3 linked regions of the Drosophila melanogaster genome follow. The protein of the gene in region 1 interacts with the protein of each later gene in a pairwise test. Each region holds a gene or a part of one and is shown in the gene's direction. Other genes may lie near its edges. The genes, in order: Usf, B-H2 and CG12877.

Region 1 (4,240 bases):
GAGAACACAGCAGGTGCGAAACTTTATAAGTTGCCTAGAGAACCTAACGAAGAAAACCTCCAAGATGTATAGCTATGTGAAGTACATGCAGAACGAGGTGAAGGAGTTCAAGAAGCTGAAGCATCACATCTCTCAGAATCACGAGAGATTGATCCAACAGCAGCTGCCATTGGGAGCGAGACGTCTGCTTGGCCTGGACGCCAAAACCAACAACGATGATCTCCATCGAAGGGGTCAATACTGCAGCACGAGGACGCCGAATGGTTCAGATGAACCGGTGTTGTTTTGTGACTTCTATTCGGACATGCAAATGCGATTGGAGAGCAAGGATGTGGACATTGATGTGCTGGAACGGGATCTAAAGGCCAATACGGATGCGGTCATTCGCCAGGTGTCCACCGAAATCCGGAAACAGTTCAATTTGGAGCAGCTTAAGGCGGCCAAGGCCCAAATGCCTGCGAAGGCGACAAAGGCTACATAGTAATGATTGCCATTACAAACAGATGGACTGGCACATTCCCTTCACAAAGCAACCAAATATTTTTGGTCACAAAATAGCTTGTACGATTAATCTGTTCTTAATTAGTATTTAGGTATGTGTGCAAGAGACGTGTGCGAGTGTGTGTGTGTGTGTGTATAGGATAAGTTTTCAGGTATAGTTTTATCAGGCTTTATACACGGAAATGTTCGAAAGGAGGAGGTTCTTTCGATGCATAATACAGCATCGTTATGTCACTTTAATTAATAATATCTTTTAATGAATATTTAAACAACGACTTTTTCACATTCGATAAGAAATAAGCTTTGAATTGTATTCAACTAAGAACTCTTTTGTTTATTTCTGTTTTCAGACAGCTTATTTTTATATTTGTTATATTATGTTTTATATTTGTCCAAAACCTCCTACCTCGAATTTCCCAAAAAAATATCATTAAGATCGCGTATTTATATTTACCACTAGTTTTACATTCAGTTATGTTATCTTAATGCAAAAAAAAAAGGAAATCTACAAAAATAACAACAGCCATTATCCAATCGAAGAACTGCAGGTTCCCGAGAGGAGTTTCTTTGGTGGATTACCATCGGATTGGTTGGGTTTTTAAGGCCTCCAACAGACTGGAAAGACTGGCAAAAGAATGGGGATTGTCAGCGTTGCTCACAAGCAAACCGCTCCAGCCGCAATTCCGGGCACCTTCATAGTCCATATCCAACTTGTTGCCAATGTGAAGGGCCTGCTCCGCTGGAATTTGCAATCTCTGCAGCGGAATTTCGAAGATACCGCGTTCGGGCTTCATAACACCGGCTTCGTAGGAAGTCAGAATGAAATCGAATTTGCCGGCAAAGCCCATGGCGTCCAGGACTTGTGGCAGTGACGAATCGAAATTGGAGATGATGCCCACACATTTGCCGGCATTTCGGACGTTCTGCACCAACTCCTGGGCACCATTCACGTGACTCCAACAGGCGCTGGTCCGAAAAACGGAAATTAGCCGCTGGCCGATCTTCTCCAGCTTCTCGGGCGCCAGACCGTGGTCCACGCAGCTAAAGGTTCGAGCCACCAGCTGAAGCCACCAACGCTGCCAATCCAATCCCGGCGAGTAACGGCCAAAGTTTGGATGTTCGCTGCTCATCGCCTTGAATTGCTGGCGAAAGCATTGTTCCAATCGGCGGCGATCCACTCCGGTGACCCCGAACTCCTCTGCCGTCTGATGGTACTGGCGAAGGGGATCCTCCAGGCGAAGCAGCGTGTCCGTTACATCGAAGGTCACCAGGCGAAAGCGTTTCAAATTCGCAACAAATTGCGAAGTCAACGACATTTTGGCCAACAGTGTGGTATTGTTTGTCCACTAGATATTACGTATATGCATTTGGTATATTTTAATTTTCGAAAAACCTCCAAAAACACATTTGCTTAGTTGAGAATCGTTTATTGAATTAAATGAAGATGCTTTTCTTCATTTTAAAGTTACAGATTTTCTACTTGTATGAAGAGTTTATTTTTTTTTTTGAATACAAACAATTATTTGGAAATGCCGCAAAAATACATTGCCTAAATTCTGGTATTTTTCGCAACAACTGTACTGTGTGTATTTGTCGGCATATATTTGCTGCCCGCCGGCGGGCACACTAAGCCAAACGAAAATAATTTTGTTACAAAAAAAATCAACAAATCGTATTGTTAAATGGCCGTGCGAACACGAACGACCATAAATCCGCCGCAGCGCTCGATTTCAAATCAAATCCTCGAGGCAGTCGGTAGTTAATAATACCGCAGAGCGGCCAGATCGGGGGATATCTACCATCCATATCCGTGTATCCTCCAACTAGAGATCGGAGCAAATAGTGGAGGAGATCCCGAATAGATCCGGAGTTACGTGATTCCCGGCGACACGGATACGATTCTGGCTGGGATTGGGCTATTGGAATTGGTGTACTGCTAACGGCGGATCATCGATGCAACAATGAATGTTCACAAGCGGCCACGTCTGAATATGGAATTCGGCTCCTCCACCAGCAATACCAACACTTCCACATCCCCGTCCTCCGTAAATATCAGCAATGCGAATCCAACAGCTGGACCTGGCCTCATGACCATTACCAATCACCACACCGCTGATTTGTCAGAGGCCCTGGTCCACAGTTCCTTTGCCAATGGTCAGCAAAGTCTGATTCTCACCAGCGACACGGGAAATCCGCTGATGAATAGCCAAGGTGCTCAGATATTTCTCACCATTTGCGGAGACGAGAACTCGGACGATTCGCAGGAGTACTATACGATTAAACAGGAACCGGGATGTGATCTAGATATCCATTCGCTGCTGCCTAGCAATTTGCAGCTGCCCAACAATCTGCAGCTGCCCACTGGCTGTGAGATATATTTGGTCAAGGAAACCGGCAGCTTAATGGGTGAGCCGCCGACGAAGGCGGCCATCAAGCTGGAACTAGATACGCTAAGCGAAAAGCCGCTCCTTCCATCTGTTACAACTTCCTCCAGCACACAGTCCGCGGTAATAACCGCCCAGACCGTGAATCCTCCCATTCCAGGTAACATCAACACCACCACCAGCACCACTAGCACCACCACCACCACCAGTGTCCTGTATGGCTCCCATGGCAATGGTCATGGCCATGGCCATGCTCACGCCCAAGCCCGATCCCAGCCAGAATCAGCTGGCCAAACACCATCCAGCAAACTGGAGGCGTACAAGAAACGCGATGATAAACGTCGTGCCACGCACAACGAGGTCGAACGCCGGCGCCGCGACAAGATCAACAGCTGGATCTTCAAGCTCAAGGAGATGCTGCCCAGTCTGAGCTCCAGCTCCAGTTTCAGCGAGGCCAGCACGAGTCCCAGCACCAGCGGAAGTACGAGTACCAACGGAAGTAGCCATTCCAAAGGCAATGCCAGCAGTTCCAGCGGACGAGCGCCGCCCAATGACTCCAAATCGCAGATCCTGATCAAGGCATGCGAGTACATCAAGAGCATGCAGGGCGAGATTGACACGTGAGTGGAGACGGGTTTGTAGGGGGGAAACCACTGAATCAGAAATCCACAAATATTGTCCGCTATAAGTTGCTGTACTACAGTTATATATACAGCTATATAACTTTTTTGACTTGTTAATGGTCTTAAAAAATGAGTTTGCTTATAGATCTTAATCAACTCCATTCGCTCAATTGAGCTTACATCATGTATCGATCGCATACGGTTAGGAATAAAGTTACCCAAAGGGCGGACACTTGATCTTTCCCACTTTTTCCGTAGAAATGCGTACTTAAAGTGCTGATATAGGGCTGGTGTTATCTTTTTGCAAAACAAAATCCCCATTTTGGAGCGGTTCTTTTTCGCCACTATCTCGTGCAATATGAGCTGGACTCTCGAATGTCCCTGTGTCACTCAAGTCTTGAACACAACACTCTCTCACACTGATCGAATGCGGTTTCCACCCAAACAAAACCCAACAAAATCATACAAAGCCAATCAAACACCTGATCCACCGATTCACCGATCACCAAACATAAACAAACCAATTACTCAACTTTGTCTATCCCCACCAATAAACAGGCTGCGCGACTGTCTAAGGGAGACGGATAGCCTAAGGGCCAGCAACCAGGCGCTGCGCGAGGAACTTGATCGCCTGAAGCGTCAGCAGCAGCTCCAGGAACGCTTCCACACGGCCGGCGGAAGATCGACGTTTAATGTTACCCTAAATTCGCTGAACAGTTCCGCGACCAGTGA
Region 2 (4,240 bases), about 13 Mb from region 1:
TTTTGTGGTTCCGTTCATGTGTGTTGAGATTTTCACGCACTTCTTTTCAATCCAATTTTCATTCCAATATTCTTACTTGGATATTATGAACCTTAAAAAACGCGCATACAATTTCTGGTCAAGCCAAAAAGTCACAACTTCCTCCCATCAGTTAGAGTATATTGCTGTCGTACTTCAACTTTGGCCATTTACACCGAGTTCATCTTTAATTAACTTATTTCGCTGCTGTGTATTATATTTCGCTTTGTACCCGCTGAACGAGCGCCAAGTGCCGTTAGTTAGACCCCGACAAAATGGCGGACGCAGCTGGAAAATGAAAATACGTCGAATATCCGTGGGATTTTTGGTGATTGCGAGTGCGGGAGAGTGGCGAAAGTCAAGTTGCCTCATTAGCAGGCAAAGGGAATGCTGAAAGATAAATTATTGTCACATTTTTACGGAAACCTCATTAATGGAATGGTGGTGTTTCGACATCGAGAGCGAGAGAGCAGTGACAGATGGGGAAGTTACTTTTAGATGGATAGGCTTGGGGGAATTCCAATTAAAATTAGAACACGTGCAGTAAGTGCCAAATTTTACTCAATTTCTTAGGATTTCCGGTGCTTATCCCTTTCAGTACCACTTACGTTATAAATATATATTTTTTTGAATAAATGTAAACATTGTATTAAATTGGTCTGACCTTAGTTTTATTTATTGATAATTAAGAAAACAATTATCAATAAGTAAATTACATAAAAAAAATGATAAGTTTATGTTCATATCTATTAATGCTATAATTTATATTACAGGAAAATCAATCTCATGGTTTATTCAGAGGCAATACAAACTGTACCCAATGATCCCGGTCACGTCTTCGTTTTCCTGCTCCAGCCCGATCGTTTGTCAGGTCGTAAATGCTTGGGATATATCTATGATTACGATACTCTATTCCTGGAAACGTTTGGCGACAGGAACTCGGATACATACCAATGGCCAGTAATACCCGACAATTGCTGCCGTGAGGCCATTTTGAAAAGCTAACTATACAATAAACATGTGGCAGCGGGAGCATCCGCCTCCAGGCGCCAAAGACTGCCTCCTCGAGTAGCTCCTGCCCACCGGAGCACGCTTGTTAGTCCACAGGAATGAGGTGGTAGGAACCCCCAGTGGTATACAGCCCCCTCTTGGATAGCCACCCCCCCCCTGAGACCCATTCACTTGCACATTAGGCAGCAAATTGACATCGATACAAGAAGTAAACCAGAAGTGAGTGGAAAGAGAGGGCACTATCGCGTGCGACAGAGAGGAAAGCGTGCAGCATTTAACTGCTGCCAATTTACTGTTTAAATGCCAAACAAAAAGTGTTAACAAGCGCAAAAATAACAAAAGACACCAACAACAAAGTACGCAGAGCGAGAGGGCCCGAGGCGAGCCACAGGCGGCCAGCCCTTGGGCCAAAGCGAGACAGACAGATGTCGTGCCGGCTGCCTCTCGCTCGCACAAACCAGTTTAAGGGGGCGTGGCCTGGCCACAAAACAGGGTTGACAGCATCCCATCCATCCATCTTGCCATCCGGATATCTGTCCATCAGATACAACAGCAAAAGCAACATTAGAAGCAAAAGCAAAGGCGGCAGCTGCCCTGCTGCCATAATCGTGTTGAGTTTCAAGCTGCCATAAAAAGTTTATGGGAAGTCGTATTGAACAGGGAAACCTTCTAAAACAGTATGATTTTGCTACTGCTGGAGGCATATTGCATAAATGTTCTGTCATTCCTGTACAAACTATATTTAGTTGGAAAGTTAGATAACAAGTTATTAGTATATTAAAGATGCATGGCTACATATTTTTTAATAATACTCGCTATTATAATAAAAGTTTACCATTAACACTGTTCAAATTTTGTTTGAAAGCAGCTAAAATAATATGAAATAACCAACTGACCCCTAAGACTATATTTAACCCTCAAAGATAACGAACACGTTTTTGTTCAGATTTATAGAAATCAAATAAGTACAAATAACTTTTTATATAAATTGACAAGACTTAATAAACCCTATTTATTTAAGGATATGAAGTTAATTGCAATACTTTTTGTGCGGTTGTAGTTCGAAACAGCCAACTCCACCACGTGCCATAAAAATAACCGTTAGACGTGCGGCCATTGCCGGCGGAAAGTCACCACACCCGCCAACTTGAGTCCCGCTGATTGAAGCCTAATGAATGTCAATTGCTGCCAATTACGACCAATAAGTGCGGGCAATAAATGTGGGCAGCCGTGGGTGCGAGCGAGAGGCAGTCGCGGGGCGACAGAGAGGGAAACTCACCACACCGCCACTTGGCCAGGTCAATGAGCGAAAAAGAGACGACGACAGGTGGCAGCTGATGGGAAGCGGTGGCTCAACTGGTTTTTGCTGCCTTCTTGTTGTTGCTGCTGTTGCCGCTGCTGCTGTTGTTGCTGCTGCTGCTGCCAGTTGCTGTTGCTGGCAGCAAGTTTCAGTTTCGGTCGAAAGCCAAAGGCGAGCGGTTGTTGCTCCGCTATTGAACATCACAAAGTGTGCGCACCTCAGCGACATTTGCGTTAAAAACCCAGTTGGGCCAAGAAAACATTAACCAACGCAAGAGCAATCGAAAGCGGAGTTCAAGAACTTGTCAAGTTTAAGAAATAAGTGCGAGCAGCTACCAACAATTAACTGAAGAAGTGCTAAAAACTCGCGTCACCCATACATACATACATAGCTGTTTGTTTTTTTTCGGTGCAAAGTGCAGGTGCAGCAGCGGAGTCGTCGGCTAACCACACATGACCACAATGCCACCGGAAATGTCCGCAACAACGGCAGCTCCCGTTGGCAGTGCACCGAGTGCCACCGCTCATCATCCCGCTGCCGTCGGCGGCGGTATGCCGCGTCCAGCTTCCCCGGCCGTCGGCAGCAACACGACGACAGCCACGGCCACAACGGCGACGCGATCCCGCTTTATGATCACCGATATTTTGGCAGGAGCCGCGGCCGCATCGGCGGCGGCAGCAGCAGCGGCGGCCGCCTTGGCAGCCGCCTCTTCCGGCGGTGGGCGTGGCAGTCCGACGGACTCGGAGCGGGAGCAATCGCTGGTCGCCCAGCATCACCACCATCACCAGCAGCAGCAACAACACCATCATCACCAGCAGCAGCAGCAGCAGCAGCAACATCAGCAGGCTGCCCTGCAACAGTACATCGTGCAACAGCAGCAGTTGCTGCGCTTTGAACGGGAAAGGGAGAGGGAGCGGGAGCGGGAACACTATAGGGAGAGACATTCGCCGCCTGGCAACAATCCCTATGCCCACCACCCCATGCCGCCCCATCTGCTCGCCCACTTTCCGCCCGCCCACTACGCCGTGCTGCAGCAGCAGCAACAGCAACAGCAGCAACAGCAACATCCCCACCCGCATCATCTGCAGCTTGAGAGGGAACGATTGGAGGCACTGCATCGGCATGGCCACGGGCTGACCGGTGATCCTGCCCAGCACTTGAGCCACTTAAGCCACCTGAGCCACCAGCAGCACCATCCGCATCTGCATCATCCCATGCACGATGAGCGATCCCGGTCACCGCTGATGCTGCAACAATTGGGCGGTAACGGTGGCAATAACAACAACAATAACAACAACAGCAGCAGTGCCAGTAACAACAACAACAACAACAACAACAGTGCTAGTGCCAACAGCAACATCATCAGCGGCAACAGCAGCAGCAGCAACAACAACAATGGCAGTGGCAACGGCAACATGTTGCTCGGAGGACCCGGCAGCAGCATTAGCGGCGATCAAGCCAGCACAATCGACGACAGCGACAGCGATGATTGCGGTAAGTCGCTGATCATATATCATAAACATACAATGAATCTGTATAGCAATATGGTTTAAGCTGTATTTCAAGGATAAGGCTACATCGGGAATATATAAAGTATATATATATATATATAGCAGAAATAATTAAGTTGCTAACTAAAGGAAGAGACTAGTTCATGAGACAGACATACAGATTCAGATGGATCTTGAAGAATAGCACCAAGTGCGGAATATATGTATATGTATATAGACACTTTATTGCAATATCAAGTAATATGAGAAGAGCAAAGCGGGGATACATATAGAGAATATATATATATATATATATAGCAATATGATATTTGTGATATTTCAGGGACTGGACTGGATGGGAAAGTGAAATCTAATGAACAACTGATATTCAAAATAGCAAGAAAAAAGAAAGACAAGATAT
Region 3 (4,240 bases), on another chromosome or scaffold:
TCGTAGTCCTTGGGCGATTGCTCGTACCAGCAGATCTCCATACATGCGCTCTCCACCAGAAGCAGCGTCTCCTTGTTTGCAACTGAGATTTCCCTCAAACGGTTGCGGTTGCGTGCCCACGTGGAGCGTTCGTCATGGCTCAGGGTGGGCACACAATCGCCCAACGGCTCGTAGTCGAGGATGCTGCGCACTCTTTGCAGGGCCACGAGGATTTCGGGAGCCGATAGGATAGTGTCGTCCTCGTGCACACAATCGAAGATGAACTGACGTCCCTTGCCGGAAATAAGCATGTGACTCGGCGTTTTGCCCTCATCCTTGGTGAGAAAATGCTTCTCTATATGATCCTGCTCCTCGCCTGGCACACGGCACGTGGAGAAGAAGTGCTTGTACAGCGCGGAGGAGTACTTTATTTTACCGCCGTTCGAGGAGAGCGGTTTGATGCTGGACTTTCTAGTCAGATCCCAAAACTCCAGCGAGTGGTGAATGTGGCGCGCCAGACTCTTCGAAAATTATACAGTCAATTAGGCAATCTTAAACTTTGTGTTCTTATAGAGCTTGGGGTGTGGGTCCACTCACCTTCAGCATGTACTCCGGTGTCTCCGGCACGCCCACCATTTCCAATTGCGAGGGCATGACCATGAGCTGGTAGGGCAGCAGCGGCATCCGAATCAGGTGATATCCGTAGTCCTCCCACCAGGTGCCCAGCCAGTTCCTCATGCCGGCCGCCCGCTTCTTGAGCTGTTCGTGCAGCTGGGCTCCCACTCCGTTTTGGAACTCATCAATAGTCTTGCGGGCCTGGGCCAACTCCTCCTTGGTCCCGAATGGCTGGATGCAGCTGTAGTAGCGCTCCATGGTGTCCCTAAGCTCCGGCAGCGGGAGCGAAGGTAAGGTCTCGTCGAAGTCGAAGGTGTTCTTATCATCCTTGCTCATAAAATATAGACTAGCCCGGTCCATGGTGGTTTAGCTGCGGGGGACACGTTGGAATCGTTGATATCAGTCTGCGCGTGTGGTGGTTTTCTATAGGCCTAAGTCAGATTAGTACAATAATCATATCGGGAATCGCTTTTACGTTCGTCAGGTCCAAAGTTCACCCAATACATTACTGAGTACATTCACATCGGAAATAAATTGATCTCATCTTATAGGTTAAACATTAAAATGGTGTGCAAATTAATACCACACAACTAAGAACACTTAATGTGCAACTAAGCGGATTATGCGTCAAGTTGAACGTAATCTTTCTTGGACTGCAGCTAGACGACTATCTTCACTAATCTCCTCAAGCTGGACAAAGTCCGGATTGGGGAGCTTTATAAATATTTATACTCCCGGCGCACTGGTGAAATCATAGGCGAATTTCTAGCCCACTGACCTTTGTACTCGATGGGGAATTCACTTTTGCCGGAGACAACTGAAGCGCCAGACTGCCGTTATACGACTGAATCCATAGGTTGGTTCCATATCACAGCAAACCTTGCCGGAGGGGGAGCACTTGAATTATCGCACCGTGGGATCCGCCACCCGCGTCCACTGACTCAGTGCGATAATATATCACCCTAATCATTGCTATTGCAGACAGTCGGCCACCGATAATGGCCGGTTTCATTTGAATTTCTATATGAATTTCTTTTTTAATAACATATTCCAGCAGACACACCCACACAAACCTTCGATGAGGCGGCAGTTGAATGTCGCGCCCGAACTTCAGTTTGCGATGCACTCGATCGAAATTAAAACGGTTCCGCAGCTATCAAGTTCATTAGGCTAGATAAGCAAACAATTTTATAGGTTAAACAATTATTTTTATTATTATACTGCTGCGTTTTTGTTTACAAGCGGCGAAGACCCTATAGGAAATTGGCACAGCAAACAGCTGTTTGCAGGAGTTGCCAGACTTTTTACACCATTTGTTTATACCGTTAGTCACCACATTCTTATTACGTACATCTTATTCTTATTAACATCGCATAGCATTGTACATCGTACCGCAAGATATAATCCTCCCGGATTGATGCAATCAACTGCCATAAACGTACATTGTAACCGTTAACAAAATGCGAATATTGTTTACAATTATTAATTAAATAGGTCATTCAATGTTTTGTAAATATTTAAAACTTATTTAAATTTATTTAATTTAATTCCTTAGCATCCATTCATAGCATCCATGCTGACGCCTATCTGGCAACGCCGCCAGCAGCTGAAACAGCTGACATCTGTCGAAATGAGTGAAAGAGACAGGCAGAAAGAATAGAAAGAAATTTGGGACGCTTGTTTTCTCAAGCGGCTTTATTAAATTTCTAATCCCAGCAAGAGGTGGAAATGCTGCCATCCACGGGTCTCTTTAAGGGCTTCTTGTGCCCTTACTTTGACGGCCAGGATGCGGCGTCCTGCAAGCGCCCCTTTTGCCACTTTAAGCATGCTCGCAAAGGTGAGTGAATTACGTCCAGTTAATTTCGCAACAAATTCTATCCACTCTCGGTTTACAGACGAATTGGAGGCCGCTCCACCTGCAGAACCTTCCCCCGTGCCCAAGTACAAGCCGGCACCCAAGTTGCTCTCCCTTCCACTGCCCCAGATCACGCTATGTGCGCCCCGGAAGAAGTCCAATCTGGAGTACCACCCGGAGAAGCCGGCTCTTGACGCATCGCCGGCTAAGAAGAAGCAGGAGGCGTCCGTGGACAGTGCTCCCAAATATGTGCCCGGCCAGCCATCTGTTACAAATGGCGAAGAATATGACGATTGGCAGGCGGTACTCGAAAAGGAAATTGATGAGCAGATGCAGGTGGAGATTGAGGAGCAAGTCCAGAATAACGACGAAGAACAGAAGATAGATACGGTAGCTGAAAACGAGGAGGACCAGGAGAATACGCAACTGACGGATGCTAGGGATAGCCACGAAAAGGATCGAAAGCCCAGCAAGGAGCGGGAAAGGGATATAGAAAAGAAGAAGATCAGAGAGCTGAAAAGGGAAAAGATCAAAGACAGGGATCGGGACCGGGACCGGGACCGGGAAAAAGACAAAGAGAAGAGCAAGGAAAGGGACAGAGAGAAGGAAAAAAATGATAGGGATAAGCGAAAGTCCTCCCACAGCGACAAGGAGCGCTCCAAGGAGCGAAATACTTCAAGCTCAAGTTCCTCTAAGCACAAGTCTTCATCTAGCTCCTCTTCCAGCAAAAAGTCATCCAGCAGCGATAAGCACCGCGACGACAAAAGTTCCAGTAGCAGGCACAAGAGCAGTTCTTCATCATCCTCCTCGAAGAGCCATCATCACAAATCTAGTTCCTCGAGTTCACGGTCCAAAACTAAGAGGAGCTCGTCTTCCAGCAAAAGCGCTGGCACTTCAAAGAGCGAACCGGAGGCGGATAAGGATACTGAAGCAGCTGTACTGACACCAGCAGAACCTATGGATGATCTGGATGACATGGACTTTGATTTTGAAGCAGACACCTCGGAAGGAGAAATTGTACGCCAGTGTGAAATGATTTTTGACGAGATGGAAAAAAAATTTGCGCAGATGCACAAGGACGAAGGCGGCAATGCCAACCCGGAGAGTTCTCGCAAGCGCAAAGCTCCTTCTCCGGACATTGATACCTTCACCGAGGCAGCCACGGCGGCTCTGCAGAAGCGCCGGGTGGCCCACGAGAATGCTGACAAGATCACGCCTCATTTGGCTCCTTCGGCGGCGATGCGCAAACCCAATCACGTCCGTAATGCCATGCAGGCGATCTTCAACCGCCGCGCGGAGCTGCGGCGCCAGGAGAAGCTACAAGCCGAAGCCTCAGCGGAGCAGGTACGTCAGGCACAGGAGCGGGTGCGCCAAGCGCAGGAGGAGCTCCGTCAGGCCAAGGTCAACTCCAACCTCACGCCACTTATTTCGCGAAGTGCTCTGACCCCACCAGTGCGATCAGGTGAGCATACCACTTTGGAATATATAATAATTCAAATTCAAATATTTTTGGTTACCAGCTCGCAGCATAGCACCTGTGGCCAACATTGTGGCCATCGCTCGGGCCAAAAAAAAGATCGAGGAGCTGCAGGCCGAGAAGAAGCCAGCCTTTACGCCTGCACAATCATTCAAGGGCGCCGGCCGTGTGGCTCACAAGCCCACTGCTGCGCTAGACAAAGCGGCTCCTGTGTCCAACGCGGAGAAGCCAACCGTCCTAGATCCCAGCAGCTCCAAGATATCATACAACGTGCGCATTCAGTATTATGAGATGATGGTAAGGCACTGCACCGT

Evidence for each region.
Region 2: the proteins of Usf (region 1) and B-H2 interact in a two-hybrid assay, tested with the Drosophila melanogaster proteins (one large-scale study listed by BioGRID).
Region 3: the proteins of Usf (region 1) and CG12877 interact in a two-hybrid assay, tested with the Drosophila melanogaster proteins (one large-scale study listed by BioGRID).

What each region holds. Positions count from the first base shown.
Region 1 is NC_004354.4:4,546,651-4,550,890, reverse strand, and holds the start of Usf (Usf), read left to right. Parts: upstream 1-2,096; 5' UTR 2,097-2,462; coding exon 2,463-3,505; intron 3,506-4,066; coding exon 4,067-4,240. Other genes in the region: CG11436 (uncharacterized protein), read left to right, coding at 1-481; CG15912 (uncharacterized protein), read right to left, coding at 1,077-1,817.
Region 2 is NC_004354.4:17,312,089-17,316,328, forward strand, and holds the start of B-H2 (BarH2), read left to right. Parts: upstream 1-2,492; 5' UTR 2,493-2,781; coding exon 2,782-3,823; intron 3,824-4,240. UniProt on the Drosophila melanogaster protein: B-H1 and B-H2 are regulated by members of the wg signaling pathway; wg and dpp. B-H1 and B-H2 are coexpressed and functionally required in R1 and R6 receptor cells and primary pigment cells for normal eye development.
Region 3 is NT_033777.3:27,704,888-27,709,127, forward strand, and holds the start of CG12877 (uncharacterized protein), read left to right. Parts: upstream 1-2,212; 5' UTR 2,213-2,322; coding exon 2,323-2,431; intron 2,432-2,489; coding exon 2,490-3,911; intron 3,912-3,969; coding exon 3,970-4,240. Other genes in the region: CROT (carnitine O-octanoyltransferase), read right to left, coding at 1-500, 577-954.